2 linked regions of the Tamandua tetradactyla genome follow. Each later gene encodes a partner of the first gene's protein in a complex. Links are inferred from orthologs where the notes say so. Each region holds a gene or a part of one and is shown on either strand. Other genes may lie near its edges. The genes, in order: TLN1 and PIP5K1C.

The links.
Region 2: the proteins of TLN1 (region 1) and PIP5K1C are in contact, whole or in part, in a crystal structure (PDB 1Y19), measured with the Mus musculus proteins. The link is inferred for Tamandua tetradactyla from reciprocal best matches to the Homo sapiens genes TLN1 and PIP5K1C. Residues at the interface, in NP_035732.2 of Mus musculus: Pro209, Val210, Gln211, Leu212, Leu214; in NP_032870.2 of Mus musculus: Pro646, Leu647, His648, Tyr649, Ser650, Ala651.

What each region holds. Positions count from the first base shown.
Region 1 is NC_135328.1:60,053,348-60,068,008, forward strand, and holds the start of TLN1 (talin-1), read left to right. Parts: upstream 1-6,756; 5' UTR 6,757-7,097; intron 7,098-13,983; 5' UTR 13,984-14,016; coding exon 14,017-14,146; intron 14,147-14,392; coding exon 14,393-14,490; intron 14,491-14,661. Other genes in the region: GBA2 (non-lysosomal glucosylceramidase), read left to right, coding at 1-92, 319-423, 646-753, 856-1,007, 1,127-1,233, 1,385-1,527, 1,621-1,736, 1,835-2,026 and 1 more; CREB3 (cyclic AMP-responsive element-binding protein 3), read right to left, coding at 3,024-3,699, 4,326-4,394, 4,493-4,599, 5,681-5,770, 5,878-5,945, 6,021-6,192, 6,278-6,436. UniProt on the Homo sapiens protein: High molecular weight cytoskeletal protein concentrated at regions of cell-matrix and cell-cell contacts. Involved in connections of major cytoskeletal structures to the plasma membrane.
Region 2 is NC_135337.1:78,774,585-78,789,748, reverse strand, and holds the start of PIP5K1C (phosphatidylinositol 4-phosphate 5-kinase type-1 gamma), read right to left. Parts: upstream 5,952-15,164; 5' UTR 5,857-5,951; coding exon 5,763-5,856; intron 5,502-5,762; exon of another isoform or gene 5,425-5,501; intron 1-5,424. UniProt on the Homo sapiens protein: Catalyzes the phosphorylation of phosphatidylinositol 4-phosphate (PtdIns(4)P/PI4P) to form phosphatidylinositol 4,5-bisphosphate (PtdIns(4,5)P2/PIP2), a lipid second messenger that regulates several cellular processes such as signal transduction, vesicle trafficking, actin cytoskeleton dynamics, cell adhesion, and cell motility.

The sequences.
Region 1 (14,661 bases):
TCCTGAGGACTCCATATCCGAGAAGCTGGTGGGAAGCATGAGTCAGCTCTGTTCCATCTTTCGGGAATATGGTCGATTTGGCTACCTTGAGGGTATGGGCTACCAGTGGGCTACAGTACGGCAGGCCATACCCTCAAGGCCAGTGAGTGTCCTATAACAAGGCAGGATGATGGCAGAGTACTGATTGGGATGGGAGGGTAAGTGGCACGTGAGGACAGCTGACAGTGCCCCACATCCAATTCTAGAGAACAAGTTAGAATGGGGGCTATGAAGCAGAAGCGGAATTCTAGTGATAGTATGTCTCCCTCATTTCCACAGGCCAGGAGTATCGCATGTACAACACATATGATGTCCACTTCTATGCTTCCTTCGCCCTCGTCATGCTTTGGCCCAAGCTTGAGCTCAGCCTGCAGTATGACATGGGTGAGGGTCCCTCTTATGCCTCTTCAACTCCCTTGTTCCCCACACCCCTAAACTGTTGTGGCCACTCAGATTCTTTTCCATCCCCTTCTCCCTAATACGTATCTGCGCCCTGCTTACTGGTTCCCTTCTAGGGCCACACACACAATTTTGGGTCCCACCCCAAGTTTGCCTATTCCTGCCAACTTGGGGTAGTACACTCCAAGTATATGTGTGCCTCCCCAGCTCTGGCCACTCTCAGGGAGGACCTGACACGGCGTCGGTACCTGATGAGTGGGGTGATGGCATCTGTTAAAAGGAGAAACGTTATCCCCCATGATATTGGGGACCCAGGTAAAAAGCCCTCTACTTCAAGGTCATCTTCCCTCCCTCAACTTTTACACCCTGTATCCTACTCACCAGTGCCAATTAACCATGTACCCTCCCCTCCCCCAGATGATGAGCCGTGGCTCCGGGTCAATGCATATGTGATCCACGACACCGCTGACTGGAAGGATCTGAACCTGAAGTTTACACTGCAGGTGTATCGGGATTATTATCTGACGGGTGACCAGGACTTCCTGAAGGACATGTGGCCTATTTGTCTGGTAAGGGATACATGTACAGTGGCCAGTGTGCCAGAGTCATGACTGGCTTCTGGGGAAAGCCTAGCTGACATTATCTTTCTTTAGTATCTAGGTCCTCAATATCTGTGTCCCTTCCCTAGGCTGTGATGGAGTCTGAAATGAAGTTTGACAAAGACCATGATGGACTTATTGAGAATGGAGGCTATGCAGACCAGACCTATGATGCATGGGTTGCCACAGGACCCAGGTTAGGAGATAGGGGGTTCCAGGAAATCTGAGATGAGGAACTGGGCACCAGGGGATGGTGAGGCTCAGGAAAGGGTACTTTATTTCCTGTTTTATTGCAAGAGAGTGGCTGGAGCTGCCAGTCTGACTCCCAAACCCATATTCCTGATCAGTGCTTACTGTGGAGGGCTGTGGCTGGCAGCTGTGGCTGTGATGGTCCAGATGGCTGCTCTGTGTGGGGCACAGGACATCCAAGATAAGTTTTCTTCCATCCTCAGCCGAGGCCAAGAGGCCTATGAGAGGCTGCTGTGGAATGGTGAGTTGGGGGAGGGTGGCTGGAAGGTCCTAAAGTATCTTAAGGCAGCTCTGGGGATACAGGGAGCCTTACTTTGCTCTTCCTCTACCCCAGGCCGCTATTACAACTATGATAGCAGCTCCCAGCCTCAGTCTCGTAGTGTCATGTCTGATCAGTGTGCTGGCCAGTGGTTCCTGAAGGCCTGTGGCCTAGGAGAAGGAGACACTGAGGTGAGAGGGACTAGAAAGAGGAGCCAGAGAGAAATGAGGAGTCTCCCTGGAGGTGTGAAGCAAGTATAAGGGACCATGTTTCTGTGCTGCCCCTCCAGGTATTTCCTACCCCTCATGTGGTCCGTGCTCTCCAAACCATCTTCGAGCTCAATGTCCAGGCCTTTGCTGGAGGGGCCATGGGGGCTGTGAATGGGATGCAGCCCCATGGTGTCCCTGACAGATCCAGTATCCAGTCTGATGAAGTCTGGGTAGGTGTGGTCTACGGGCTGGCAGCCACCATGATCCAGGAGGTAATGCATTCCCCTCCCCACCTCCCTACCATTGGCACCTTAGTCAGCAAACTTCCTCAGCTAACAAACTTCTTCAAGGCCTAACCAATGGCATCTTATCCTTAAAGCCTCCCCCTTTCCCCAGGCATGCATCCCAATTCCTATCTCCCTCAGTCTTCTGCTTGGGTCAGGTTTATCTTCCCTACCAGCTGGGAGCTCCCTGATGGCAGAGAGCCTATAGTCTCCATTTGTCCAACTGAAGTGGCTGTTCTGTGGATACCAATATATGACTGCCTGTTCAGGGGTTACCAATATATAACTGCTATCTCTCCTCACAGGGGCTGACTTGGGAGGGCTTCCAGACAGCTGAAGGCTGCTACCGCACCGTGTGGGAGCGCCTGGGTCTGGCCTTTCAAACCCCCGAGGCTTACTGCCAGCACCAGGTGTTCCGCTCGCTGGCCTACATGCGGCCACTTAGCATTTGGGCCATGCAGCTGGCCCTTCAGCAACAGCAACAGCATAAAAAGGCCTCTAAGCCAATAGCTGAACAGAGCACAGGGCCTAAATTTGGACCAAAGGAAGTCACAACAAACCTGAGCCCAGAGTGAGCCCTCTGAACTATGGGAGGAAGACAATAACAGCCCAGCCTCCAGCCTGGCCTTTTCTCCCTCCCCCAAAATCTCCTGCAGCCCTGAGCCACCAGGACAATCATGCCTCCTCCCTTTCCCTTACCCAGCTATGCCAGTAATGAGGGGTTGGGGTGATCCAGGCATCAAAATTACATATTTATTTATTTCCTCACCACTTTCTCCTACTGCATGAAATATTCAAGGAGGCCAGTTGATTCCCCCAGGCCCATTCATGGGGCAAGAGAAACACCAAGATACTAATAAAGGACCCAAAAAGCCAGTAAGTCTGGTGTATTTGAGCCCCCAGGCAGTTCTCTCCCATTCTTTTTTATTTGGATATAAACTGGGAGCCCAGGCTCCTGCTGAGCACCCTCCCCTCCATTCTCCATCTAGCCTGAGTATCTGCCCTGCAAGATCACAGATGAGGGGCTCTGGGTAAGAAGCCATCTCCTTTCTTTTGTGAGATTTACCTGCAGAAGGATGGGACTTGGGCAGAGGGGCTTTGAGAAGGAGTCAAGGATTGGCATCCTCAGGGGAGTCTCTGCACCAGAAGCCTGAAGTATGTGATATAGCAGACAGGAAGAGTTGCCAGGGGCCTGGAACACGTGGTCTGAGCTATCCAGCAACTGGTTTGTGCTGTCCTTTGGTACCTCTGACCGCAGGACAGGCCATTCCCACTGGTGAGGCTCCTCACTGGGGAGAGCACGAAGCTGGCGGGACAACACTGAGGAGACAAAGAAGGTCTTCAGAGGTGGGCCCAAGCCCTTTTCCCCAGCCTGTACCTTAATGGTATCCTCAAGCCTCTCACCTCCATGTTCAGCTGGAAGGCTCCCCCGTGTGTCAGAAGAGTACATAGCAGGCACGAGGAGGAGGCAGAAGGAAAAGAGGAGGACCTGGAGCACAAAGAAATGAAGACAGGTTCTAGACTGCACCCTGCTCCCATTTCCCGGAAAAGGACCTCCTTCCGTCATCATCCTCACCAGGACACAGGTGCTGCTGCTGCTGCTTTTGTTTGATATCTGAATCATGATGGCCTGGAGTTTCCTCAGCTGATCCAGAAGGGACCTGAAGAAAACAGGGACAGTGAGCAACCCCTGGCCTGGCTGTTAAGGCCACTCCCTCCATCTATGCACTGGATCCTTTATCTTTTCTTCCTATTTTTACCAATAACTTCTTCCTTTCTGCCAACAAAATGTCTCAAGTTCCTCATTAAAACAAACAAACAAAAAAAACCTCTCTGCCTTGCTCTGACTTATACTCCTTTGCAAATACCTATAGTGTTTTTTTTTAATGCCCTATCAACTAGGCAGATCATATTCACCAGGCATTCCCTGCACTCTACCTTCTGGTCCCAACTCTACCATTTTACGGTTCCAATCAAACCGGACTATGTTTTATTCTCTCTGCCTAGAATGCTTTCACTACTCCCAGAATACTACTCCCTATTAAATGCCATCTGCCCCATGAGGTCTTTCTTGCTTTCCTCCTTTCTCTTACTTGGTACTTATTTATCCTTAGTTACTCTGAATTTATTTCCCCATTACTGCAAGCTTCTTGGAATCAGAGCCAAGAGAAGTCCAAGTACCAGCCTCACATGTGGGAGCTGCCCAGTGAGAAATCAAGTGTGGCGCAGGGGAAAGACAGCATTAAATGGGAAGGAGAGGAGGGACTGATACTGGAGGGTTGCTTACAGATTCTGTTCCTCCAAGAGCTGTACTTTGTTCTTTAGCTCCAGATTCTGGGCTGTGCATTTCAGCACCCTAGGGGAATAAGACAAGCATATGGCCTGTATCTTCCCTTCAAAAGCCAACTATCTCTCCTCCCCCAACTCCTCTCAGAGTCCCTTTCCCCTTCATACCTGCTTTCTAGACCCCCCACGTACATCTTCTTCTTTCTACGACTCTCTTGAGCAGACTTTTTGTTTCGAATCTTCCTCCGCACTCGTTTCAGAGCTTGTTCCTCCACCTGGGAGAAGAGAGGAAAGGAACATCAGAGAAACATGGAACCATAGAGTTAGAGAGTAAATGAGTTCAATCTTCTTCCCAATGTAGGAAACCTTTTCCAAAGTGTCCCTGACCAACAAGCACTAGACTTCTGTCTGAATGCTTCCAAGTGTCAGATGTTAATACTCCCACAAACCCAGATCAAGTTTAAAATCTTTCTTATCCTGAGCCAACATCTGCCTCCTAATTTCTATCCATTGGGCTTTAGTGTCTGATATCTGGGACCATGTAGAATAAACCATGTTTAGCTATTTGGCACTTGACATTTCTTCACAATCTTCCTCAGAGTTAAAAACAAAAGTAAAACTTGCTCAAAATGTGTAATTCTTCATCATCCTGCTCTCCTCAGGGTGGACTCCATCCTGTTAATAACTGTCAATGATCTGGGTTCCAAACGGGACACTAAGAAATGCTTTCACTAATTAAGGAGAGCAACACCCCTATCAATAGAGTCTCCAGATCCCATTCATTTTTCAGTAGCCACTTCATGTTAATGACTCATCTTGTACTTTTTTAAGAAGTTAAAATTCCCTTAATCTTTCTGTCAATGAACATTGATTTTATCACTGTATCACAGTGTTGTGCTTGTGAAATTATCACTCATTGCCTGTAACTTAAAAATCAAGAATTTACATTTATTTTCGTTAAACTGTTGAGTTCAGCCTTGTCAAATTCTAAAGCTCAATTCTACCATTCAGCAAGAGGTGGATTACCATAAAGCCATAGATATCTAAGTTTCAGGGCCCCTCACTTGGCACAGTCTTTGCTGAGACCTTATACTAATGTTGCACTGATAATTTTGAATTTTTTTCTTAAAAAGAACATCAAAATTTGTATAAGCTTCAGACCCCACAAAATCAGCATCTGCTTTTATTTCTAGCATATTAACTACATGCCCCAGCTTCCTGCAAGCAACAAATTTGCTAAATTTCTTACCTCAGTTCCTTTACAAGTTACTGATAATACAATTAACAGGATTGACCTGCTTGGCACTCATACAGTGTCCCCTCCCCACAAGCCTTTGCTCCCTATAGGACTCTTACCTTAGTGAGAGGAAGAGTCCCAGGCAGAGTAAACCCCTCCTTCTCCAATAGCCTCTTCTCCTCATCGGTCAGTATCAGACTACCAATCTCCTGGGGTTATGGGGTGGTGGGCAGCAGAGTTGCATGAAGATGTCAGAAAATGGGGAATCCTGCCCCCCCCATACAATTTGGGATTAATCCTCCCATAAGTCAAGTACCTGCTCTGCCTGCTCCTCCACCTGCAATGGAGTCATCTGGGGCCCCTTCTTTCCACAGCTCCCACTATCTGCAAACAAGAAAGTAAGAATAGCCAGGTCCATGAGCCCTCTCCTCTCTCAAATTTCATTTATTTCAGACTCACCGAGATCTACAGAGCTATATTCCTGTGGGAGGGAGTAGGTGTGATCATGGTAAACGGGACAGAGGTTGGAGAAGCTGAGAACGTTCAACGATGGTGGGGGGCTCAGCAGGGAGGTCAGGAAATCCTCCACCTCCCATTCGCTCAGTACCTGCACAGGGTTCAAATTAATGGGCTGTGACTGATTACTAAATCTCTGCTTCACGAATGCCCCCCTCCCCCTCCGGCCCGCGCCTCCCCGACACAGAACTCTCACCCACCTCAGCGAGTGGCAGCTCCCATTCCTCCGGAACCTCCACGGCGGCCTCCTCGGACGCCGCCCCCAAATCTCCGCTTTCCTCTAGCAGGAAGTCCAGCAGGTCCTGGTCACCGGGGCCCAGCGCCAGGTCCATATCGGTTTCCACGGGGGGTTCGACCATCTACCCAGCCCCAAATCCCGTGCCCCAGGAATAACCTCCAGCCCAGTATGCCTCCCCCAAATATCGTAGGGTTTCTTTTCCGCCGGGCTTTCCCCTCTAGAGTCTGACGCGCCTCCCAGAGCCGATTCTCTTCAGCTTCCAACACAACAGAAGTGACGCTTATAGCCCTCATGGCATTCTGGGACATGAAGTTCCTCCCAATGCAGAAGTGGCCTTGGGGCCGCGCCACGTCCCTGGGGCTATGCAAACTAGAGCGGACGTTCCTGCTGGCCACCTCACACCCACGGGGCGGGGATTCTAGGGATCCGGCTCCGCCTTCGCCCAAAACGAGAAAAGGAAGGGTTAGAGACTAAAAGGGAACTTGGGCACGGTTCGGACGTTTTCGTCCGACCGCGCCGCACCCTTGCTTCCTGCCGGGGAGGGGCTGCGCGTCTTCGGCGGGCTGCCGAGCATCGAGAGCTGGCGCCAGAGCAGCTTCCTGCAGTCCCCGCAACCATAGAGCGCGGGCTCAGGGCGCCGCCCGCGGGTGGGGGACTTTCCGGGGACGGAAGTGATCGAGAGAGTGTCTCTCGGCGGGAGGGCGAGGCCGGAGCCCGAGAACGACCGGGAGAAAGAGCGGGGTAGCGGGCCGGCGGGCGGGGCACAGAGCCGGGCAGCGCAGGTAGGCCGGACGGGGCCGAGCGGGAACGGCGGGGTGGGGCCGCGAGGCTGGACCTGGGAGGCGGGCTGGCGCGCGGGCGGGGCCGCTGACTCTTCCTGCGTCTCCTGTTTCGGATCCTCTTGGAGAGGTCAGCTTCCAGTTAGTGAATGTCGCATTGGATTCAGAACTAAGTAGGCTGTTTGCTGGAGCCAAGCCCTTCCTGGGAGCAGTCCTTTTCCTGAGATGGGCTTGGGGGAGGGGGAGGACTTGGTTGGCAGTGAAGCTCGGGGCGCGGATAGGCTTTGGGGTTAGTTGATAGCGGCTATGTGGATAGGAAAGCTTTGGGTGAGTTTGGTATTAAGTGGCATAGGGTTTAGGATTCAAGGTTAGCTTTAGGAGTTAAGACTTAGAGTTATTAATGTGTCAGGTCCGGTTTGTAGGCAAGGTTTAGATTAAGATCATGGTTTTGTTTTTTAGGATGGCTAGCAGACGTCAGAGTTAAGAGTTAAGGGGTCAACAAATGGGAATTAGGTTAGACCTACATTTTAGGGATTAAAGATCGTTGGCGTGGTTAGGTATGAGGAATAAGCAGTGAAGGAGTGGGTCAGGAATCAAGTTACACATGAGCTTTAGGTTTAGGGATCAACATTTAGGGTTAAGGTTGAGGGGGTTCCCAAAGGTAAAAATCAGATCGGTATTATAGATCAGGGATTGGGTTACCATCTCTGCTGTGAAAGAGATGAATGTCAAAGCCAGTACTGGGGATCAAAAATAAATTAGGGTTGGGGTTAATGTTAGGAATTAGGGGCAACTTTACGGTTATGGTTGAGGTCAGGGTAGTTGAACTTGTTCTGGTGAAATTTAAGAAGTTCTTGGTAGGTAGGTGCCCTTGTTTTGGGCAGAGGTCTCATTCCTTTGTAGTCACAGGGAGCTTCTTGGGCTAAATTCAAGCTAGAGTTCTGGGCTTCAGTTGGAAGTGCAGGTGTCTAGGATTCCAGCATCTCTATCCCATCCTCTAAGACCAGGGCTCGTATTGTGGTCATTAAAAGTTGGAGGACTGGAGTTCCTAGACTCTTTTGTTTAAAAGAAGGGAGGTAGAGTGGGGATAGAGGCCCAAGAAATGTATAAAGCCAAATCATAAATGGGGGACTACTAAGGGAGAAGGGATTAGTGACTAAGGGAGAAGCCGGCCAAGGAAACACTGTTGCCCTGGTGAAGAGAATGGCTGAATCCCCCAAAAGTTCACCCCATTGCCTCTCACTGTCCTCTCATTCTCTAAATGTTTTTTAAATCTCTCCAACTGTCATTCCTGGCCCTGCATTTCATTCCCTCACACGAATACTTCCCTTGCCTTTAACCCTCTCTTATTATTCATTTTACTTAAGTTCCCAACCTTAATTCTGCTTCCCTCTCCCCTTCTTAATCCACACATCTGACCTTACTTTACCCTCACCCCAAAACTTGAGCTTTCCCATCATTTTAAAGCACTCTTCTCCCATTCTCACCCACTCCATCTATACCACCCTTTTTCAGCACAACGCAACTGCTGAACACCCCAGTCCCTGCTGTGTGCCATCCTTTAATTCTTAGCCTCCTTGAATTTCTTGGTCCATTTGCAGATCCCCTTCCCCCACTCCCCAAACAGAAAAGAGGAAATGAGACCCAAAGAGGAAACTGGGTCTTGCTGATCCCACGCCCAGCCAGGCCACTGACCACACCCCCATTTCACACCCAGCCTGACACGGCCACTGACCACAACCCTATGCCATACCCAGCCTGACCCTGCCACTGGCTATACCCCACACTCCACCCCCAAACTCCAGCTTTTCTTAGCCACAGCCAGTGTCCCTTCACCCTCATCTCCAGCCTAATTTGGCCACTAACCACAGCCTTATTTCTTCCCTACCCTCTCTAGCCTGATCTGGCCTCTGACCTCACTCCATCTTTCTCTCTGAGTCTGACATCTACTGCCCACATATTCATTCCTCCCCTTGCCCCAGCCTGATCCAGTGACTGATCATATATTCATATTTCCTACTATTGTCATCACCACTAGTCTTCTCCCTCCCCATATTGATGCATTCACTGACCACACCCCATCTGCCCCTACCTGCCTACTAACCACGTATCCATTTTTCCCACCGCCTAACCATACACCCTAACCACAGCCTCATCCTCATATTCCCAGCCCAGCCTGATCTGTCCTCCGTCTTCCCATTTTCTTACCTAATCTCATGCTACTACCAATGACAGGAAGCTATGGAATTCCAGCCTAACCGTGAGTCCTTGTCTGATAAGATTGACAGGACAGACTGTTGTCAGGTCCTGTCAGTTCTACCTCTTAAACTTTCTTTAAAGTGACATCCTCCTCTCCACCATTCTAATCTTGGCTTTATTATCACTTACATTTGCTAATATGGTGTCTCTCTAACCAATCTCCTAGGTAATTGCCAGAGTTATGTTCCTAAAAATCCAGTCCTGATCGTATCTCTTCTCTACTCAAAAGCCTCCCCTGGCCTCCTGTTAACCTCCAGAATGTAAAACTCCTCATTATCCTCTCTTGTCCTCCCCTGCCTTTCCATCCTAACCCTAACTTCCCCACCACTGCTCCCTTGCGGGCACCCATGCTTCAACCAGCCTACCTGCTCACTTCCCCGAATGCTCCTCCACAATTTCCTGCTTCTCCACTTTTGCATATGCTCTTCCTTCTGCCTGGAATGCTACCCCTGACCCATCTCCAGTGGCCTAGTGGAGAAAGCCTGGGTTCAGATCATGGCTCTACAAGTTATTAGCTGTGTGACTCTGGACAAGTGCTCTTTGAACAAGTACTTCACTTTGAACCTCAGTTTAATAATCTGTCAAAATGGAGATGATGCCTGCCTTGCAGGGTTGTTACATGTAAGGATCAAATGAAATTTTGTATACAAAGCAGTTAACATATAGTTAATAAATGACAGATCGTTATCATTTTTTATTATCATTATTATTTTTTAATCTAACTTCAAAGGACAACTTTTTCATGGGGACTTTTCCTATCCACCTTCCCTAACCTAATCAGATGGCTCTTATCACAGCCTGCTCTTTATTGTAATTCTGTACTTGACTTATCCATCCTCTTGACTGGGAGCTCCTAGAGGGCAAAGCTGTTGTCTTACTCATCTCCCTTCCCACCCACTGAAAGTTTTGGCCCTCGGCCTTCCCCACATTGGGGATGCTTACTGAGTGAATGAAGAATGCTTACTGGGTGAATGAAGGAAAATGTATACCTAAAGGAAAAAAGGATGTTGGGAGGAGGGGGGCTGTGTGCTTGAGATGGGGTGTATTTAGAGGGGAAGTTGCTTGCATTGGATGGAGTCTTTATGGAAAGATCAAATGGCTGCAGTGGCATCTGAGTCAGGGCTCGGTGACTGAGATAACAGATATACAAAGAGACGCCATGGAGGTAGCTTTGTGAGAAAGAGCTCTGTGATGGGGGTGTGTTTGGGGAAGAGAAGTGTGCATGGGATAGGGGTGTATGCGGGGAGGATGTGTATTGGGGAGGTCAGGCCCAGCCCTTCAGCTGCCCAGTCCAGCTCTAAAAGAGCCTCCGGCAGCTTGAGGCCGGATATGTCAGTCTCACCCACAACCCCCCCCCACCACCACCACCACAGTTGTGGACTCAGAGGCCAAATTTGGTAACAGACTGAGTATTACTCCCCCAACCCTCTTACTTTCTGGCTCTGCCTTCAGTTTTCTCTTCCCCTTTGTCCCTTTCTGTAACCCCCTATCTTTCTGCGGCTCCCTTTGTGGTTATCTACACAGACTGTATTCTCCATGTACCCCAAATTCCTTCCCCCAATACACTTACATTCCATTCCTTCCTGGGATTTGACCTCTTATCCTCCATCTCACCCTCCCCCCTAATTGCCCAACTCCTTTGGAATGCATTTCAGGAATGTCTTGAGGGAGGAGGAGTTCCCTGGGAGGGGGACACTGGTGGGGGGGGGGGGTGGAGACAGAGATGGTGTTGCTGTTTCATTCAATTAAAAAAATGGGGAAAAGGGAGCAAATTTCCCAGCCAGAGCAGAAACTGCTTCTCCCCATACTTCCAGGGACCCTATTTCATGCCACCACCCCATCCCACCCCAATTCATTGCTCCATTCTCTCTTGGAGCCATGTGGATGTCTGCTCAGGAACCGCCTGGGAGTAAGGGTAGGCATGACTCAATGCCCTTATCGGGGTCCCACCAGAGGTTTCCGTGCATGAGGGAGAAGAGGGTGTCCATGTCCGGAGGAAATAGGGGGGAGACATGCATTTTCAGCTGAGGTAAAGGGTCCTTTCAGTCCTGCCCTCAGCTCTCTTACTCCTCCAGCTTCTCTGACCCTCCAGCCCTCATTCGTGGTCAGCGACTCCAGTGCCAGGTCTGTCCAGCTATTGGGAGACATGCCCCAGGAATGTGAGTGTGTATGTGTGTGCACGCGCGCGCAGAGAGCTGGAACAAGGGAAACTGGGAAGATCCTCTCTTGTTTGAGGGTGAAGATAGAGCTATGGTTTCTTGTCTTGAAACTCTAGATTTTATAAAGCCAGAAACAGTCTTGTCAACTGTGCGGTTGCAGACCCTTGATCTAAACCTTTCCCACATCTGCCTCCTATCCCCTGTTGCTACCTGGATTTCCAGCTCTCTCACCCCATCCCATCTAACCTCCCCATCCTCCAAAAACATACCCCTTCCCAACTTCCCTACTTCTCAATTGTTCTTTGTATCCTAACAATCCCACTTCTGCTTCTAACCTTTTCTTTTTCTTCTGCTCTTTCTCCCTTGGGGCTGGCAATTTGCCAGAAGGGGAATGGGCACCTGGACTTGGTCATTCTTTTAGCTAGAAGCAGCCAATCCCTAGACCATCCCATCATCAACTGCCAGGTAGACTTGTCTTCTTGCCATCTGTGTGCCACCTGCTGCCTCCAGTGGCTCTTCCAGCCCACCAAGAGGTGGTCGTGCCAGGAGCTGCACTGAAAATACTGTCAGGGGAGGCAGCTGAGATGAAGGGCAGAGTTTGAGAAGAACTTGCTGACAAGGAGAAAGCATAAGAGGAGTTGCTGTAAGAACTGAGTATTTACTCAGAAGTAGTTTGAAATGTAGCAAGGACTGACTTAAAAAGACTGGGCTTTTTCTCTGACCCACCTTGAAAGTTTTTCCTCTCAGAGTCTGTTTTCCCCTGTGCAAAATTGAAGAATTGACTAGGTAATTTCAGATATAACTTTTTTTTTTTTTTTTTAGCTCAGATGCAGCTTCATTCAGTGTTTTAACATGATTAGGTATTATTGTGCTGTCCATTTTTGAGTTTTTGTATCTAGTCCTGTTGCATAGTCTGTATCCCTTCAGCTCCAATTACCCATTATCTTACCCTGTTTCTAACTCCTGCTGGACTCTGTTACCAATGACATATTCCAAGTTTATTCTCGAATGTCCGTTCACATCAGTGGGACCATACAGTATTTGTCCTTTAGTTTTTGGCTAGACTCACTCAGCATAATGTTCTCTAGGTCCATCCATGTTATTACATGCTTCATAAGTTTATCCTGTCTTAAAGCTGCATAATATTCCATCGTATGTATATACCACAGTTTGTTTAGCCACTCTTCTGTTGATGGACATTTTGGCTGTTTCCATCTCTTTGCAATTGTAAATAATGCTGCTATAAACATTGGTGTGCAAATGTCCGTTTGTGTCTTTGCCCTTAATTCCTTTGAGTAGATACCTAGCAATGGTATTGCTGGGTCATATGGCAATTCTATATTCAGCTTTTTGAGGAACCGCCAAACTGCCTTCCACAGTGGTTGCACCATTTGACATTCCCACCAACAGTGGATAAGTGTGCCTCTTTCTCCGCATCCTCTCCAGCACTTGTCATTTTCTGTTTTGTTGATAATGGCCATTCTGGTGGGTGTGAGATGATATCTCATTGTGGTTTTGATTTGCATTTCTCTAATGGCCAGGGACATTGAGCATCTCTTCATGTGCCTTTTGGCCATTTGTATTTCCTCTTCTGGTAGGTGTCTGTTCAAGTCTTTTTCCCATTTTGTAATTGGGTTGGCTGTCTTTTTGTTGTTGAGTTGAACAATCTCTTTATAAATTCTGGATACTAGACCTTTATCTGATATGTCATTTCCAAATATTCAGATATAACTTTGAGCTAGAGAATCATAATTCTAGCTTGACTGCCAGGGAAGCCAAATATGGGACTAAGCTCTTCAGAGAGGCCTCGTATGTCTCAGATTAAGAGAAAAGCTGAGAAAAGAATGAACCAGGATGACTTAAACAGCCAGTGTTTGGTCTCCTACACAGACTAGTTTGAATCGGAGTTTGCAGGCTTCTAGAGCCCTTAGGGATTATCTGATATAACATCTTCATTTTGCAGAGAAGATGCTAAAGCTATGAGAAGGAAGGTCACATGATGAGTCAGGGTAGGGCTCTGAAATCCCAGATAGGGAAAAGCCTGCAGGACATAGTGGGAGACAAAAGGGAAAAATACTGAACGAGGAAAAGACAGAAACCAGGCAGGAGGCAAGGTTGAGAAAGGAGCCGAGCAGGTACAAAGGGCAAGAGAAAGATACTTGGAGGAAAGAAAAGAGGCACAGATTCCAGGGAGCAGGGGGTAGGGGCTGGGTGGATATCCTCAAGTAACCCTGCATTTTAGACCTGCTGTTGTACTTTGCAGACCAGCCTCTCCCTCAGATAGCCTGGACAGTTAGGACTATTTCTTGTAACTAATATTTAACTTTTAAAAGTGATTAAAACCAAAACGACTTCAGTACCACCTGCTTTGGGGAGCCCCTTTTAAAAGCACCCCTCCTTGGGACTCCATCTGGGGGAGCCTCCTCTCTTCCAGTGAGGGTGTGTTCTGATACCCCGATACCACGGGCCAGGTATCACCAGGCTGGAGAGCAGAATCCGCCACCATGGTTGCACTTTCGCTGAAGATCAGCATTGGGAATGTGGTGAAGACGATGCAGTTCGAGCCATCTACCATGGTGTACGATGCCTGCCGCATCATCCGTGAGCGCATCCCAGAGGCCCTGGCTGGCCCTCGTGAGTCTGACTACCGGGGGTCTGGGGTGAGAGTTCTCAGTACCTTCTCATTCCCAGGCTCTCAGCCTTGAGGGATGACCCTATTGCCCCCCCCCCCAAGGTCACTCACCCTCAGGTCCATGCTCCATGGTTCCCTCCTTCCCCTTTAGGCCCAGGGTCATGGGAGAAATGGTAAGGGGCAAAGGTGCAGCCACTCAGACACACTGGGATGTTCATGAGGCTCAGGGGACCCATCCTCTCTTTTAGCCAGCGACTTTGGGCTGTTTCTGTCAGATGATGACCCCAAAAAGGGTATATGGCTGGAGGCTGGGAAAGCGTTGGATTACTACATGCTCCGAAATGGGGTAAGTATCACTTCATCAGGGACCTCCAACATTGTCTCCCATTATCTTCCCCCGATCCACCTCCAGTTTTGAGCCTTTGTATCTGTTGTCTCTTCCCCCTCTGGCCCCTGTCTGTCACAGGGAGTCATAACACCATGCTTCTGAGTGAACCACCATAGTCTTCTTTTCAGT
Region 2 (15,164 bases), on another chromosome or scaffold:
CAGGTAGGTGCAGCACCCCCACCCCACCCCCCGCACACCTAATCCCCGAGCTGGATAATCCCTGCACGTGCTCCATCCACCCCTCACGCCCAGTTGGCACGGAGCCGGGCAACCCCAACAGGGCCAAGACAGCAGCGGTGGGTGGAGGGACGGAGGGAAGGCCTGAGGGTTCACGGCCCTCAGAGACCCTATCGAGCCTCAGTTTCCCCATGTGTAAATGTCCTGGCCCCGCAGTCACTGTTTGGTGAGCAGTGACGAGGGCTGGGACTCACCTCTTTCTGTGCTGCTGAATCCTCAGGACACCAAGTGCCCTCAGTTTGGGAGAAACAGTTGGGGGTGCATGGCTGTACCCCAGCTCATCCAGCCTCCTGGGAGGTCCACCTGCCCCAGGAGCCTCCCAGTAGCCCTCCACTGCCCTCTCTACCCACTATTAGCTCCAGCATTGCAGAGAGCTCTGGGTCCCCCAAGACCTGCCCCACCTGAATTCTTCTGCCCTCAGCCACTGGCTCCCCAGGCTCAGGCCAAAATCCACCTGGAGATCCACATCCCTCTCACCTCTTTCCACCCGCTGAGGCCCCCTGGCTCCCCCCTGACTACACCGACTCTACCTCTGCTGCTCCCACATGCCCGTGCCCTCCCGCCCTGCGGCCTCCGCGCCCACCACCCCTGCTGCCTGCCCGTGGCTGCACCTTCTCATCCAGGTCTCGGCGGCCGGGCCAGCAGGTCCTGGCCCCTCGCTGTCCCCACAACGGCCTGCTTCCTTCTCCCCAGCACACTCATGGCTGTCCAGCCTGATCTTATCTAGCGAATGGCAAACTGTTTCTGCTGAGGGCCAGACAGTGAGTGTTTCTGGAGCCACGGGCCCCTTGTGCCTGTGTCATGACTCCTCAGCTCTGCCACTGCAGCGTGAAAGCCGCCAGAGGGAATGTGCCCGTGAACGGGTGGGCCTGTGTGCCAATAAAACTTTATTTACAAAAACCAGAGGAGGCCAGATCTGGCCCACGGGCCGCAGCCTGCCAAGCCCTGGCCTGAAGTGTCCCCTTGCTCACCTCCCGCACCCTGGGTCCTACCCCATGACCTGAGGGCTCCATGGGGGTAGCCAGGGCATTGCTCTCAGCCCCTGATGTGGCCCCGACACTTGGAACCCCACCTGGCCCACAGGAGGAGCTCATTACATGCTTAATAAATGCCCATCCTGGGACTGAAGAAAAGTCCACTCCACCGCCAGCCTCGGTAAATGAGCCCAAAGCCCTCCTGCTCTATCTGGCTGACACGTCCACGGAGGTCAGCGCCTGTGGGCCCTGCGCCCGAGCTCGCTCCAGTACCGCGGTGGCCCAGAGAACAGCACCCACGCACAGGTGGGTGCACTGAGGACCCAGGAGGCCTAGGTGCTGAGGCCTCCCCACTCTGGGGACCAAGGTGCCGGCGGTCAAAGTAGAACCGGGAGCCGCCAGTCCTCAAATCCACAATCTCAGCCCTGGCCACTGCTGACCCATAAGGAGGGACAGAGGGGCATCATGTCTCCATGACCCTTCACTCCAACTGTGGGCCCGAGAGGAAAGGGTCGCTCCCCACCCAGGTCTGGCTCACCACTGCCTCCCTAGCAGCTCCAGGGACCCTGTACCCTTCCAGCCCCAGGCCTTGGCTGTGCCCTCTGCATGCTCCAGAAACTTCTGTCTCCTGCAGGGCTCGCACAAATGTCTCCTTCCAGGCAAGCTGTTCCTGTCTACCCCACTCCCTTTTTCTTATTTTTTAACTTTTTTTATTGTATAGTACAGCATATACACAAAGCAAAGAAAAAAAAATAGTTTTCAAATTACTCTTCAACAAGTAGTTACAAGACAGATCCCAGAGTTTGTTGTGGGCTACCATACAACCCCATTCCCTTTTGCAGCTCCTCCTGCTTTCTTCCTTCTTCGGCAGCCGGCTCCCTCACTCACCTGACGTTTCCCAGTGGGGTACCAGGCATTCCGGGTAAAGGGAACATGAAGGGGACTACATAGACAATCGATTCTGCCTTCACAGGGTAGAAGACAAGGAAGAAAAGCCATGCACGTCACGCCCTGACAATGCGATGGTGACAAAGCAGGCTCAAGGGAATGGGGCAGGGGGCAGGGGAGGCCCCACGGAAGCGGTGGCATTTGCCCAAAAACTTGAAAAAGTTAAGGAAGTAAGCCACATAGACATGGGGGAAAAATATTCCCATGAAAAGGCCCTGAGGCAGGGCCAGGCCTGGTGAGCTGGAGGAAGCCAGTGCGGGTGTGGCCGGAGTGGAGGGAGAGAGGGAGAGAGCCAGAGGAGGGGAGGGCAGGGAGGGGACGGGGCAGGTCCCTGCACACATGCAGGGCTCAGGGCTGCTACAAGGGGACAGTTGTCTTCAGTTTCTTCCAACACCCAGAATGGGGCAGGGCGTGCAGCGCCTGGGGGAGGGAGGCGGGAGCCATGGAGGGCTGTGGGCAGAGGAGGGACAGGATGCCACTAAAAATTCCAGTTTGGGATAGAACTCTTCTGGAATGAGCTGGAGGGAGCTTGGGGCGGGGGGAGGCCAGGGCAGGCATGACCACACCGGCCCAGGCGCGCCACACTGGGGCTGGCCTGGAATGGAGGCAGAGGAGGTAGGGAGAAGTGTGGGGGGGGGGGTTCCAATTATGAAGGCAAACCCGACGAGGTATAGCACTCGCTATGGGGGCCAGGGTTGAGGGTGGGGAGGGGGTCAGGAACGAAGCACACTGTCCCGAGGGGTCACCATGATGGAGGCTTGGGAACTCCTGGACCACAGCCCCCAGGCAGGTCGCCGGCCTCTGCGGCTCACCCAGAGACCATCTCCGACCCCCAAGCCTTCCCGAGACCCCTTCCATGAACGGAGCCGGCAGGGACAGCCTCTATCAAGCCCTCCCGAGTCCCTCCTGGACCATGCTCTGGGGGTGAGAAGCCCATGCATGGAGAGGAACCGGATTCTAAGCCCTTAAAAGACCCTGTCTCGCACCCACAGGACTGCCCAAATCAGCCTGGCCGATCACATCGGGAGCCAGCCCCACCATAGGGAGGAAACCCCCCGCCTCTCTCGGCCCCTGTTGGACAGGCCACGAGTCACACCAATCTTTGAGGCAAGCTGTGGGGCATCAAGGAGTCAGGTTCAAGCCTGGATGCCCTGGACCTGGTCCTTCCATGGCTGGGAATCCCTCGGCTAGAAATGGAGGTGTCTGCGGGCGCAGGTCACGTTCAGTGACAACGACGACAGCATAATTACAACTGGATGAACCTCAGGCAGGTTTACAGTAGGCTTTGCACACACGTCAACACTGATCTGGCTGTAAGCCTAAGGTCTGTGAGGTGCTCACACTGGGTCGAGGCCACGGTCACCCTCTGAGGTGAGTATTATCATCGACCCCATTTTACAGACGGGGCCACTGAGGCAGCCGCCCTTCAAGGTCCCACAGCAGCTGGGATTCAAACCCAGATGGGGACAGGAAATCCAGATTTTTACAGATGAAAAAGCAAGTTATAGGACAGGCACAGGACAGCAGTTTTCATCAGGGGTGAGTCTGCCCATGGGGGACCCTCAATGGAGACTAGGGACATTTTTAGCTGTCATGTCTGGGGGAAGGGGAGCTGCTGGCATCGAGCAGGCGGAGGAGCCCAGGGAGGCTGTTCGACCCCCTACAATGCACAGAGCGTGCCCCCACCACCCCACTGCAAAGAATTTTCTGGCCCCAAATGTCAATAGTGCTGAGAGAGAAACCACTTATACAACGAATCCATCTTAGTAAAAAACACACAGATCCATTTACATATTTATACCCTTGTCCGAGCAATAAAGAAAGCACAAGCAGCTAACAGCACTTACACTGGGAAGATGGGTTTGGGGTGGGGGGAGGGGGGCAGCAGCTCTGAATTTTAAAATGAGTGAAATGAATGGCTGGCCAGTGGAACTGGATTTTGGAGGATCTCACTGCAGGGAGGCAGGGTGCGCTCCTTCTCGGGGGGTCCCTGACGCTCAGACCCAGCCACAGCCAGAGCAGGGGACAATATGTACACACACGCCCCCATTGGCTCGCAGAGCCCTGTGAGAAGACAACATTTGCGGTGTTGCTTTCTTGTGGTCAGCCAGTCTGGGGTTATTTAGCCTCCGAGCAGCCCAGGCCAGAGGGCTGACAGTGGAAGAGGGGCCAGAGAAGGGACCCTGACTTCCCCAGGTGCCCCCACCACGTGCACTACTCGCCAGGTCAGGCGACCAACTGCTGGCAAAGAGCAAGGACGAGGCGACCAGCTCGTCGGAATTAACCGGGTCATCTACCAAGTGGCTCCAGATGGCACGGAGAAAGGAAGTGAAGAGAGCCTTCCAGAGCCAGGGGGTGGGGTGCGGTGAGGGCTTGGAGTGGGGGGAGACTTCCAAGTGTTTCTCTCTCTCCTGTGTTTTTTCTCTCTCCCCAGACGCTTCTCCCAGCTCCCAGGCACCTCCTCGCCTGCCAAGGAAGCTTCAGGAGGCCCAGGGGGAGAAGGCAGGACGGGTGCCCAAGTGGGTGTCTGCAGAGACTCTGCCTGCGAGGGCTGCTGGGGGTGGGAGGAAGCAGAGAATTCTAGAGAACCGGAAACTTCCTACTTGGTAGCGTACGACCTCGACTGGGAAGGAGCCATTCCTTGAGACTGTGGCTCAGCTCTGCACACCACCCCAAACCCGGGCAGGAGGGAATCCGGGGGCACTGAGCCAGGTTGCCTACTTCCCCACACCTGTTCTGTAGGAAGGTGAGCCAGGCCTGCCCAGGAGAGGAGCAGTGGGACACAAGGAAGCCATGGTCCCTTTCCCCAACTACAGCGGCCAGGCAGTGCCCAGGGAGGCTTGGGGAACAGGGCACCAAGACCCCAGGACCTGCTGGTGGGGTCTCAGCACTGAAGGCCCCTTCAAATGTCATCCCTTTGCAGCCCTCGTTTCACTGGTGGGTAAACCACAATCCGGAAATGTGGTAAGGAAATGGGCAGTGCACCTGCACCCACGTCTGAAGACTTCCAGAAAAAAGAGAAACGACAGAGCCAGGAGGCTGACCCAGATGGCCGGAGAGCCCCCACCTGCACCCCAAGCTGCTCCAACCCTTCCAAATGAACAAAGTGTGCCCAAAAAGGTGATGGCTAGTGGGGGAGGAGTTGAGGCCGAGAAGCTGGAACTCGCAGAGGGGGACACCCCAAAGGAGGGGGTCCAGGCAAGGGGGTCGCATCTAGGGCAGTGTCACTCCCTTGCCCGTGGCGGGCACCATAATGGAGATACCCGGCCATCCTGCACACTCAGAGCAAGCACCCCCTCGCCAAAAAGTGCGGGGAGGAAGACCACCTCAAGCACCCCCAGCCTGGGGCGTTCCCCCACCCCGCTCTTAGTGGCGCAACCCACCCCTCCCCTAGGGGGAAGTGGGGACCACCTTCCCCGCATACCTCCAAGAGGGGCTGCTCCACCCACGGCCTTCCAGAGTGGGGCCCTACGCCCACCCGCCGCCTCCGGGCCGGGGGTCGCCGCCAGACACCCCCGAGTGGGCGGCGCCACGCCGAGCGTCCCAGGGCGGGGCTTTCCATCCTCCCCACCGGCGCGTCCCCCGGGCCCCGGCGTGGCGCGCTCCGTCCCCCCCGCGAGCGCCCCCGAGTGGAACGTTCCAGCCTCCCGCAGGCGGCGGGTCCCGCGCCCCTCAGCGCTCGGACGGGTCCACTGGGCCCGGCGGGGGGGGGGTCTCAGGCGGGTCCATTCGGGGAGAGGGGAGGGAGTCCAAAACCGTTACCTGCCGTCGCCCCGCTATCCGCGGCCCACGCCGCTTCCGTGGGCACGGCCCCCGCCTCGGCGCTCTCCGCCTCGTCCGGTACCTCCAGCTCCATGGCGGTGCACGCAGACCTGCGGGCGAGCGGCCCGAGGTTGCGACCCAAGCTGCGGCCGCCGCCGCCACCACCACCACCGCCGCCGCCGCTGAACAACAACCGCCGCTGCCGGCTGGAGCGCGAGGGAGGGGGCCGGGCCGCGGGCGCGGGGGCGGGGCCTGGGGCGGGGCCAGGCGGGCGCCGTGGCGCACAGCGCGCGCCGCCAATCGGGGCTCGGGGACGGGGCCCGCGTGCGTCCCGGCCTCGGGAGCTCCTCGCGCGCCCCCCGGCGTCCAGGGTTGGGAGTGCAGCGTCATTCTCATCTAATAGTGACATTTCCAATATTCGATACGGACGTTGACGTCAATGCTAACATTAATAAAATATTAATATTGACGTTAATAATCGACGTTTGGTTTGATATTTTATAGTCAACATTGATATCGATATTGATATTTAGTGCTGTTCAACATTTAATATTGGCATTCAACATTTAACTTTCATATAGGTATTTAAATAACCAACGTTTAATGTTGATATTTATTAATATTGATAATAATATTCGGTTTAATACTGCTATTTAAGTATTCCATTTCTAATAGTAATATTTTTAATATTGATACTTAATGTTTGCATTTATATTGATATCAAAATATTCAGTGTTTACTACTGATACTTAATATTAATGTTGAGACTAGCCAAGTTCAATAAGCATTCAACGTTTAATATTATATCATGCTTATATCTGTATCTTATATTAATATGGATATCTAATATTCAGCCTTTGTTTTTACTTATGTTTGGTATTTCATACTGATATTTAATATCACCATTGATAACATTCCATTTTAATATTGATATTTAGTATTCAAAATTTAATACTGATCTCGATATCAATGCTAATATTGATATTTGGTGTTACTATTCAACATTCAGTACTGGTATTTAGTATTTGACTTTTATAAAACTATTTACATAGTCGATATTTAGCATTATATTTAATATTAATATTGATAATATTCAGTTTAATGGTGGTGTTCAGTGATCAACATTTAAGTACCGCTGTTTAAACATTCAGTGTTTAATAGTACACATAATATCGATGTTGATAGTAAATTAATTTTTAATATTGATATTTAATATTTGATTTTTATATTGCTATATAAATATCCCATATTTAGTATGGATAGCTAATATTAATATTGATAATATTCTATTTTAGTGTTGATATTTAATACTAATGTCAATATCAATGCTAATATCGATAGCTGATATCCATATGCGATGTTTAATATATTAATATTTGACATTTGCGATTTCTAATATTCAGTAGTCTGAATATTGGAGTTGATAATATTCCGCTTTCATATTGATATTTAATATCCAACAGCTAACACTACTACTTAATAGTCAATGTTTAATATCTATATTTAAGAGTATTGCTGATAATATTCCACTTAATGTTGATTTTTAATATTCAAAATTTAATATAGCTGCTTAATATTCAACATTTGATATTGATACCGATATCCCAGTAACAGAAACAATTTTGAGTGCTTGAGTGTCAGGCTCAAAGCCTGTGCACACGGCTTCTCCATAAATCAGAGACAGGTTGCTTTTTGGCTGCTAATATCCTCTGAGGGCTTAGCACAACCTGGCACCGAAAGACGATAACTATTTTACCTATTAGTCAACCGCAGGATGTAAAATCATCCCCACTTTACACATGAGAAAACAAGAAGCCCAGAGAGTTAAAGCCCTTGCTTGGAATCACGTGGAGAATCATGCCGAAATCAGCGCTGCTTATGGTGTTAGAGGTGACTGTGGGGTTTGTTAAGAATGAGTAATGTTGGGTTTATGAAGGAGCCAAAGAACCAATCAGGTGGTTCCTCATTCCAATGCCCTGATTTGGGTATTCATACATTTTGCTCTCGCTGCTTTTTTCAATTATGAATGATTTCTGTTGGGGGGGGGCAGGCGTGGAGCCAGTTCTCCCAGTTAGAGAGGAGAGAGGAATCAGGATGTTTTATCCAGACGAATCTGACCCCAGAAAATGTGCACCTCACTCCCTGGGAGGTCAAGCAGGCTGGGATTTGAGGTGCTTGGTGTTTTGGGTTTTTTTTTCTTCTTTTTTTTGGTGGGGGGAGTGAGTGGGAGAGTGAATATGCATGCTAACATATGAAGATAAAATTTCCCATTTTAACCACTTCCAAACCCACAATCCAGTGGCAGCAATTATGTTCACAATGTCTTGCCACAGTCATCAAAGCTTTTCCATTCCCCTGAAACAGAAACTCTGCACCCGCTCAGCTCTAACTCCCCAACCCCCCACCCCCACCCCAGCCCAGCCCCTGCTAACCTCGAGTCTACTTTCTGGCTTACGAATTTGCAGTCTTGGTTATTTCGTGTAAGTGAAGTCAGACAATATCCATCCTTTTGGGTCTGGCTTCTTTCACTCAATGTCATGTCTTCAAGGTTCAGCCACGTTGTCGCGTGGATCAGAATTCCATTCCTTTTTATGGCCGGATAATATTCCCTTGACTGGATGGACCACATTTTGTTGTTGCATTCATTCACCAAGGGACACTTGGGTTACTTCTGCCTTTTGGCTATTGGTGAATCATGCCACAACAAACATGGGTGTACAGATATCCGTCCAAGGCCGTGCCATCAGTTCTTTGGGGTATGTACCTAGGAGTGGGATTGTCAGATTCCGTGGTACTTCTACGTGTAACTCTTTGAAGAACCATGTGGTAGTTTGGTTCAGGTGTCAACTTGGCCAGGGGGAGGTGCCTAGTTCTATTGCTGCCGACATGAGCTGATGGCATGTGAACCTCATCTGTTGCTGATTACATCTGCAGTTGGCTAGGAGTTTTCATTAAAAGCCAATCCATCTCTGGTGCGTTGCATTCCAGCAGCTAGCAAACTAGAACAAACCACTAAATTGTTTTTCCACAGGGGCTGAGTTGCTCCTTGGTGTTTTGACTTGAGGACAAAAGGCAGCCAAGGAACCGGGAGCAGGTGCCAGTTAGAAAGCACGTCAAGGAAGGAGAAAATATCAAGTACAGGGTCCAGGAGAGGGCAGAGGGAATCCCGGGGTTGGGGTTGAAAGAGACTCCGGAGGACACCTATGGGTGGGGTGGGGGATGGGTGGAGGAGGACAGGGCCAGATGGACCAGTGCAAAGACACCAAGGAGAGTTCTTTAGGAAAGGGAAACGGATAGAAGTCGTGAGTCAGCCTGAATCTGCCTTGAGAGAAGATTTAGAGTGCAGGTTCTCAAACTGGGGTCCCGGGGTGGGCAAAGCAGCACCCAGGAGCTTGTTAGAATTGTGAGTTCTTCTCTCCATCCTTCCCCAACCCCCCAAGTCTGAAACTCTTGGGCGCGGCCCCCACACGTGACTTTTAACGAGCCCCAGGGGATTTGGATGCCCCACGAAGTTTGAGAACCATTGATTAAGGCAACTGGAGAAGGGCTGGGGCTGCTGGTGGTGAACGATTATGAATGAAACCGAGGTAAAGGAGGGGACAAAAACCATCTTCGGGGTTGATTGAATCCCTCCTGCTGGGAATTCGATGCCGAAACTAAAACATCAGGAAATGGTGAAAACAGACATGTTACTTAGAGACGTGAACGTAAATGTCAAACTAACCAGCTAAGAAAAGGGAATGAACCAATGAATGGACTTGGGGAAATGGTAATTATTCGACTCTTTGAAAGGCATGCAAGTCTTTCATTAAAACATTTACATTTAAAAGAAAAAGCTGGAGGCGGTGGGGGGAGGCATAAGGCTGCAGGGAACAGAGAGGAGGGGCATCCCTTGCTTCCTTGCTCCATTCCCGTTTGGCGGGGTGGAAAACTGAGGGCTGCCTGTTGGGGCCGTGGGCTGGTTTCCGGCGCCCCCTTGTGGCCAGAGCGGCCATTGACTGCAGCGCCCGGGGCCGCCTGCAGGTGGGAGGGGTTTGGCGGGTTTTGTCCACGCCCCTCCCCGTAGTTCATCCTTTCATTCATTCGTCCGTCGGTTTGTTGGTTTGTTTGTTCCTTCACTCACTCACGCATCCATGAGAACGTATTGAGCGCCTACCGTATACCCGGCACAGCGAGGCATCCCTGACTCCAACCAGGTTATATTCCAGAAAGGGGAACAAGCAAATGACTAAGATAGAAGATACTTTCCGCCGCTAAGAAATGCTTAAAAAAAAAAAAAAAAAAGACAAATGCTGTGGATGTAACTAATGCCTTAGCATTGCACACTTAAAATGATTAGAAAGAGAAATTTCAAGTTGTGTATATTTTAAACGCAAAGGAATAAAAATAAAGACCCACGTGATAGGAAAAGGCAGGACTCAGAAGGTAATACTATGGAATGCTTATTCTAGCACCTTCTAATAGGACTATAACATAAACCACAGATGTCACTTAAAATTTGTCTAGTAGCTAAAGTAAAAAAAAAACAGTTGAGATAAAATTTAATAACATATTTCCTTTAACCCAATATGTCCAAAATATCATTTCAATATAAATTCCTTATTATATAAATCAGTGAGCTGTTTTCTGTGCATTTTTGCATGTGAAGCCTTCAAAATCCACCCTGTAGTTTGCACTCACAGTACGTCTGATTAATTCAGACCAGTCATGGGTGGGTAGTGACTACCTAATCGCATGGAGCAGGCCTGCTGCATGCCTAGCAAAAAGCACTTTATATGTATTCATTCATTTAATCCTTGAAATAATCCTAGGAAGTAGGTACTCTTTTTTTTTTGGCATGGGCAGGCACCAGGAATTGAACCTGGGTCTCCAGCATGCCAGGTGAGAATTCTGCCACTGAGTGACTGTCGCCCTGCCCAGTTCTCATTAAAAAAAAAAATTTTTTTCCCCATGAGGAAACTGAAGCCCAGAGAGGTTGTGTGATTTACCCAAGGCCACACAGCTCGGAAGGGGTAGACCAGGATGTGAGCTCAGCATTGTGGGCGGAATGAGCCAACCCTGCCACAATCTGAGGGGAGAGCATAACTGGGGGAAGACACAGCAAGGGTCAGGGCTTGGCCGTCCAAGGTCAAGGCGGACGGTGAGGGCAGGGGAAGCCACGAGGCATAGACTGTTCACTCCTTAATAGATCGGCAAATATCTCCTGAGCGCCTACTATGTGCCAAGCTTCTGGTTCACGCCGAGGGGTGCGGCTGTGAATGCCACAGACGGGGCAAGGCTCGGTGTTCCTGGTCTCCGGGTAAGCAGGGGTTAAGGCCAGCTGCTCCCACGTTGCGACAGAGCCACACACCCAACCAGCCAGGGGGGCCGGCCTCTAGCTCACTCCCTCACTGGCTTGCTCTCCTGCGCTGGTTCCACTTGGCAGGGACCCCTGCCCGCCTACTGTTGCTCCCACGAGGGAGGAGAAATTGGACAAACAGGTGGGAAGTCCAAAGCCAAGTCCTCGGGTCCCCTCCCCACCCCTTGTGCCAGGTGGGCACCTGGGCCCTGGCTCCTGCCCAGCTCCTCACCCAGGTAAGATACCCCCCGCCCCTGCCCCCCCACCCCCACCCCGGCACCTCGATCTGCCTGCCATCTCCACGGCCGGGTCCTGGGACCCCCACCCCCACCCCAATCACCTCCCCCGAACTCCCCGGAAAGCAGGAAGCTGACACTCCTGTGTGGGCATTTGACATAGTTTCCAAGGGATTATCATTCTGGCCGTGACTGGCAGCCTGCCCAGGGCCCCGCGGCCCAAAACTTGAAAGAGTCATTATTGTCCCAGGTGGGGCCGGGCCGGGTGGGGGGAGCTGCACAGGCTGCAGGTTTGTCTCTGATCCCCCAAACTATAGGGAATGTCAATGCCCCCCAAGGCTCAGGGTTGCCTCCTGCTGCAGCCAGAAGCCACAGTGGGGAGGCAGCCTAATACCTGGAACTTCCCAAAGAGAAGTTGTTTTGGGACTTTCAGAAAATTGCATCTCCTCTTTCCCAGCTCCTGGAAACTCCAGGGTCTGGAAGCGTGTCGCGGGGTGGGGAATTATCTGGACCCCTTTCCCAGGCAACTTCAGAAATGCGGGCAGGCAGTGGCGGAGGTCGGCCCAGCTGTCCCCTTTGCAGAACTCAGCGCTCCGAGGAGGCAGAAGGGAAATGGAAGCCCAGAGCCTGGAGAGCAGAGGGGTCCGCTGACAGCAGTTTTCTGGGTCATTTGTGCCCAAGCAGGCGGGACAAAGGAAGCTTCCTGCTGAGCTGAGTGTCAGATTGCAGCCTCCAGCCTCTGTGTTCCCCTGGGGCCCAGGAGATCTGGTCGCGGAGCCTGCTTCTAGTTTGGGGTCATCCTGGAAGGAGGAATACTTGAGGTCTTTGGGGTGATGTACAGGAAGATGAGGGGGACACGAGTGAATTGTCAGATCCCACCATGCCTGGGACTGGGAGAGAAAACCCATGGAGTCACCCAGACCTGGCCTCCAGCCTCTTCTCCTCTAGCCCCATCTCAGTTTTTATTTTTATTTATTTTTTTGCTCTCTAAAATGTCACCTGGTTCCAAGGTATTGCAATATTGTTGGTAATGGATTCTCCATCAGGTAGGGGACAGGATAAAGCCCCCCTTCCCCCACATTCAACTTTGGAACTGAGAATGAGGCTGGTTGCACTTCCCGTTTTATGGAAAAATCTGGGCTTAGAGAGGGTAGGTGCTGGCCTAGGGCTGCAGAGCAAGGGCAGGGGGCACTCCAGAGGCGAAATGCAAGAGTGGGGTAGGGAGCGTCCCTACCCCGAACAAATGCCCCAGACTGAGCATCTTGTAAAAGTCCTGCCTCCCTGACTCAGGCTTGAACCTGGGGCAAGGCCAGGGCCTGGGAGATTCCACCAGCCTCAAAATCTGGGGAAAGTCCACGGTGAGGGCATTTGGTGGCTTTTCTTCCTGCTAGGGCCTGGCCGGGCGCCCCAGGGTGCAGTGTTTGCTCAGGGCGGAGTCTGACACCCTTTGGAATGAGCTGAGGTCAGAGGGAGCCGACTGGGAGGAGGGGCCGCCTGGGCCGGGGAACAGCATTTATTGAGCACCTACTGTGTACTTGGTGCTCTTCTAGGCTTTGGTGATGGTGGTGGGGTGTAAATTCAGCAAGGGACAGGGTAGAGAAAGATTCCGATCCTTGCAGAGCGTCTATGTTTTGGAGAAGGCAGACAAGAAACAACAAATGTAATGAGTGAATTGCATTGTAAATTGTATCCTGGGTGAGAGGAGGGTAAGTCTGACAGGAGAAAGAAAAAGAAGTGAAAGAGGTAAGAGGATGGGGTTGTCAGATGTGTGGGTAGGGGGGAAGAGAAGGCGTTTTACAGATTTAAATAGAAAGATTACTGAGAAGGTGACATTGGAGCAAAGACTTGAAGGAAGTGAGTTGTCAGCCCAACTGATCTCTAGGGAAAGAGCCTTTGGGGCAGAGGGAGCAGGCTGTGCCATGGTCCTGGGGCAGGACTGAGCCTGGCGTCTTAGAGGAAGCCCCTGTGGCTGGAGCAGAGGCGGGGAGGGGGAGAGCAGGAGGCGGGGAGGCCAGGGAGGGGCCTGGGAAGGTGATGCAGGTCCTGGTGGCCTGGGCTTTCCCCCCTGGAGGGAAGTGGGAGCCATGGAGGGCTGTGGGCAGAGGAGGGACAGGCCCTGACTCAGATGCTCATGGGCGCCCTCTGGCTGTGTGAGGAGCACAGAGCGTGGGGGTGAGGACAGGAGCCCAGAGGTCGAGGGAAAAGAAGAGGGCAGATTCTGGAAGGATTTGGGTAGAACCAACAACATTTGCTGATATATGAGAAACAGAGGCAGGGAAGGAAAATGGGTGGAATATTCTGGGGTCTGGAGACTACGATGGGTGGGAGGGACAGGAAGCTTGGGAGGTCAGCGGAGATCAGGTGAGGGAGAATGAGGCTTTTGGGCTCTATGATAGTAAAGGATTTTACCCCCAGAGGTAAAATCGTGTCTCTCATACAGATATGAAACAGATAGGTATTTTATGAGTTTGGCTAACTCATTCATTAATGTGGGTATTCAAAGGAAAATTTATAAGAACACATGCACACACACAGAGGCAATCAAGAGTGTGGAAATGAATTTATAAATAGTTGCAATACTGATCAGAAGCCACTGGGCAATAATCAATTGTACCTTCTCCACAGGACAGGATTCATTTGCATTTCTACAGAAATTTGCAGTATTCCTTTGCGATAGCTTCAGTTTCCTATAATTTACTGAGTTGTAAAATTGTTCAAAGACATTGATAACTTTTAAGTGTGTGGCCAGAGCCTAGCACGGGACTTTGAAGGAATGCTGGGGAGCTATTGAATGTTCTTGAGCTGAAGCCACTGCTTATTCATTACATATTTTTTGGTGCAACTCTTTGTTTAATGTCTGTTCTCCCTGCTGGACTGTGAGCTCCAGAAGGGCAGTACCTGTGGTGCTGAGAACAGTGTTGGTATACAGTAGGTGTACAATAAATGCGTAAACAATGCATGGGGAGTCACCTAAGATTCTGACTGGAGAGTAGGAAGACCAGAGCTGTGCATATTGTAAAAGTGGGATCTGGGTGTAGGAGGCTCTATATTGGGGGTCGGCAAAAGGGGGGTCCTGGTGCGGGGAGTTTAGCTGATGAGGGTCGTCAGTGGGACAAACACCCTCCCTTGAGCATGCGTCCCATGCTCCTGGCTTCTAGGACTGCTGTTTACACCCGCTCCCTCCTCCATCGAGTTCTCTCAGCCTGGCTGACCCTCAGGTTGGTGGCTGAGCCGCTGCACCCAGGATCTGTCCTTCCTGAAACGCTTTGTTTGGCTCTGGGGACCCTGCACCCTGGTGTTTATCCCTCCCCTGGTCTCTCCACTGTCTCTTCTGGAGGACAAGCAGTGTAGATGGCGGGGGAGAGTCCAGGACAGGCAGTATGGATAGGACGGAGCCCCATGGTGAGCAGTGTAGACAGGAGGGGAGGGGGACCCAGGGCAAGCAGTGTAGACAGAGGAGGGTACCCAGGACCAGCAGGGGAGACAGAAGGCTACATCCTCTCCCCACACGTGCCTTGAAATCTTGCAGGAACCCCACTCACCCTGCACCCTCTCTCCTGTCTACACTGCTTGTCCTGGGTACACGCCTCTGTCTATACTACTTGCCCTGGGACCTCCTCCCCCACTTCTGTCTACACTGCTTATCCTGGGTCTACCCCCGTCTCTCTACCCTGCTTGTCCTAGACCAGCCACTCCTCTTTGTCTATACAACTTGCCCCGTGCCCCCTCCTGTCTACACTGCTGGCCCTGGCCCACCCTCTCTGTCTACACTCACTCTCCCAGTGACGTCACTGTCCCATGGCCGAAACCATCCGCCAGCGCTGGGTG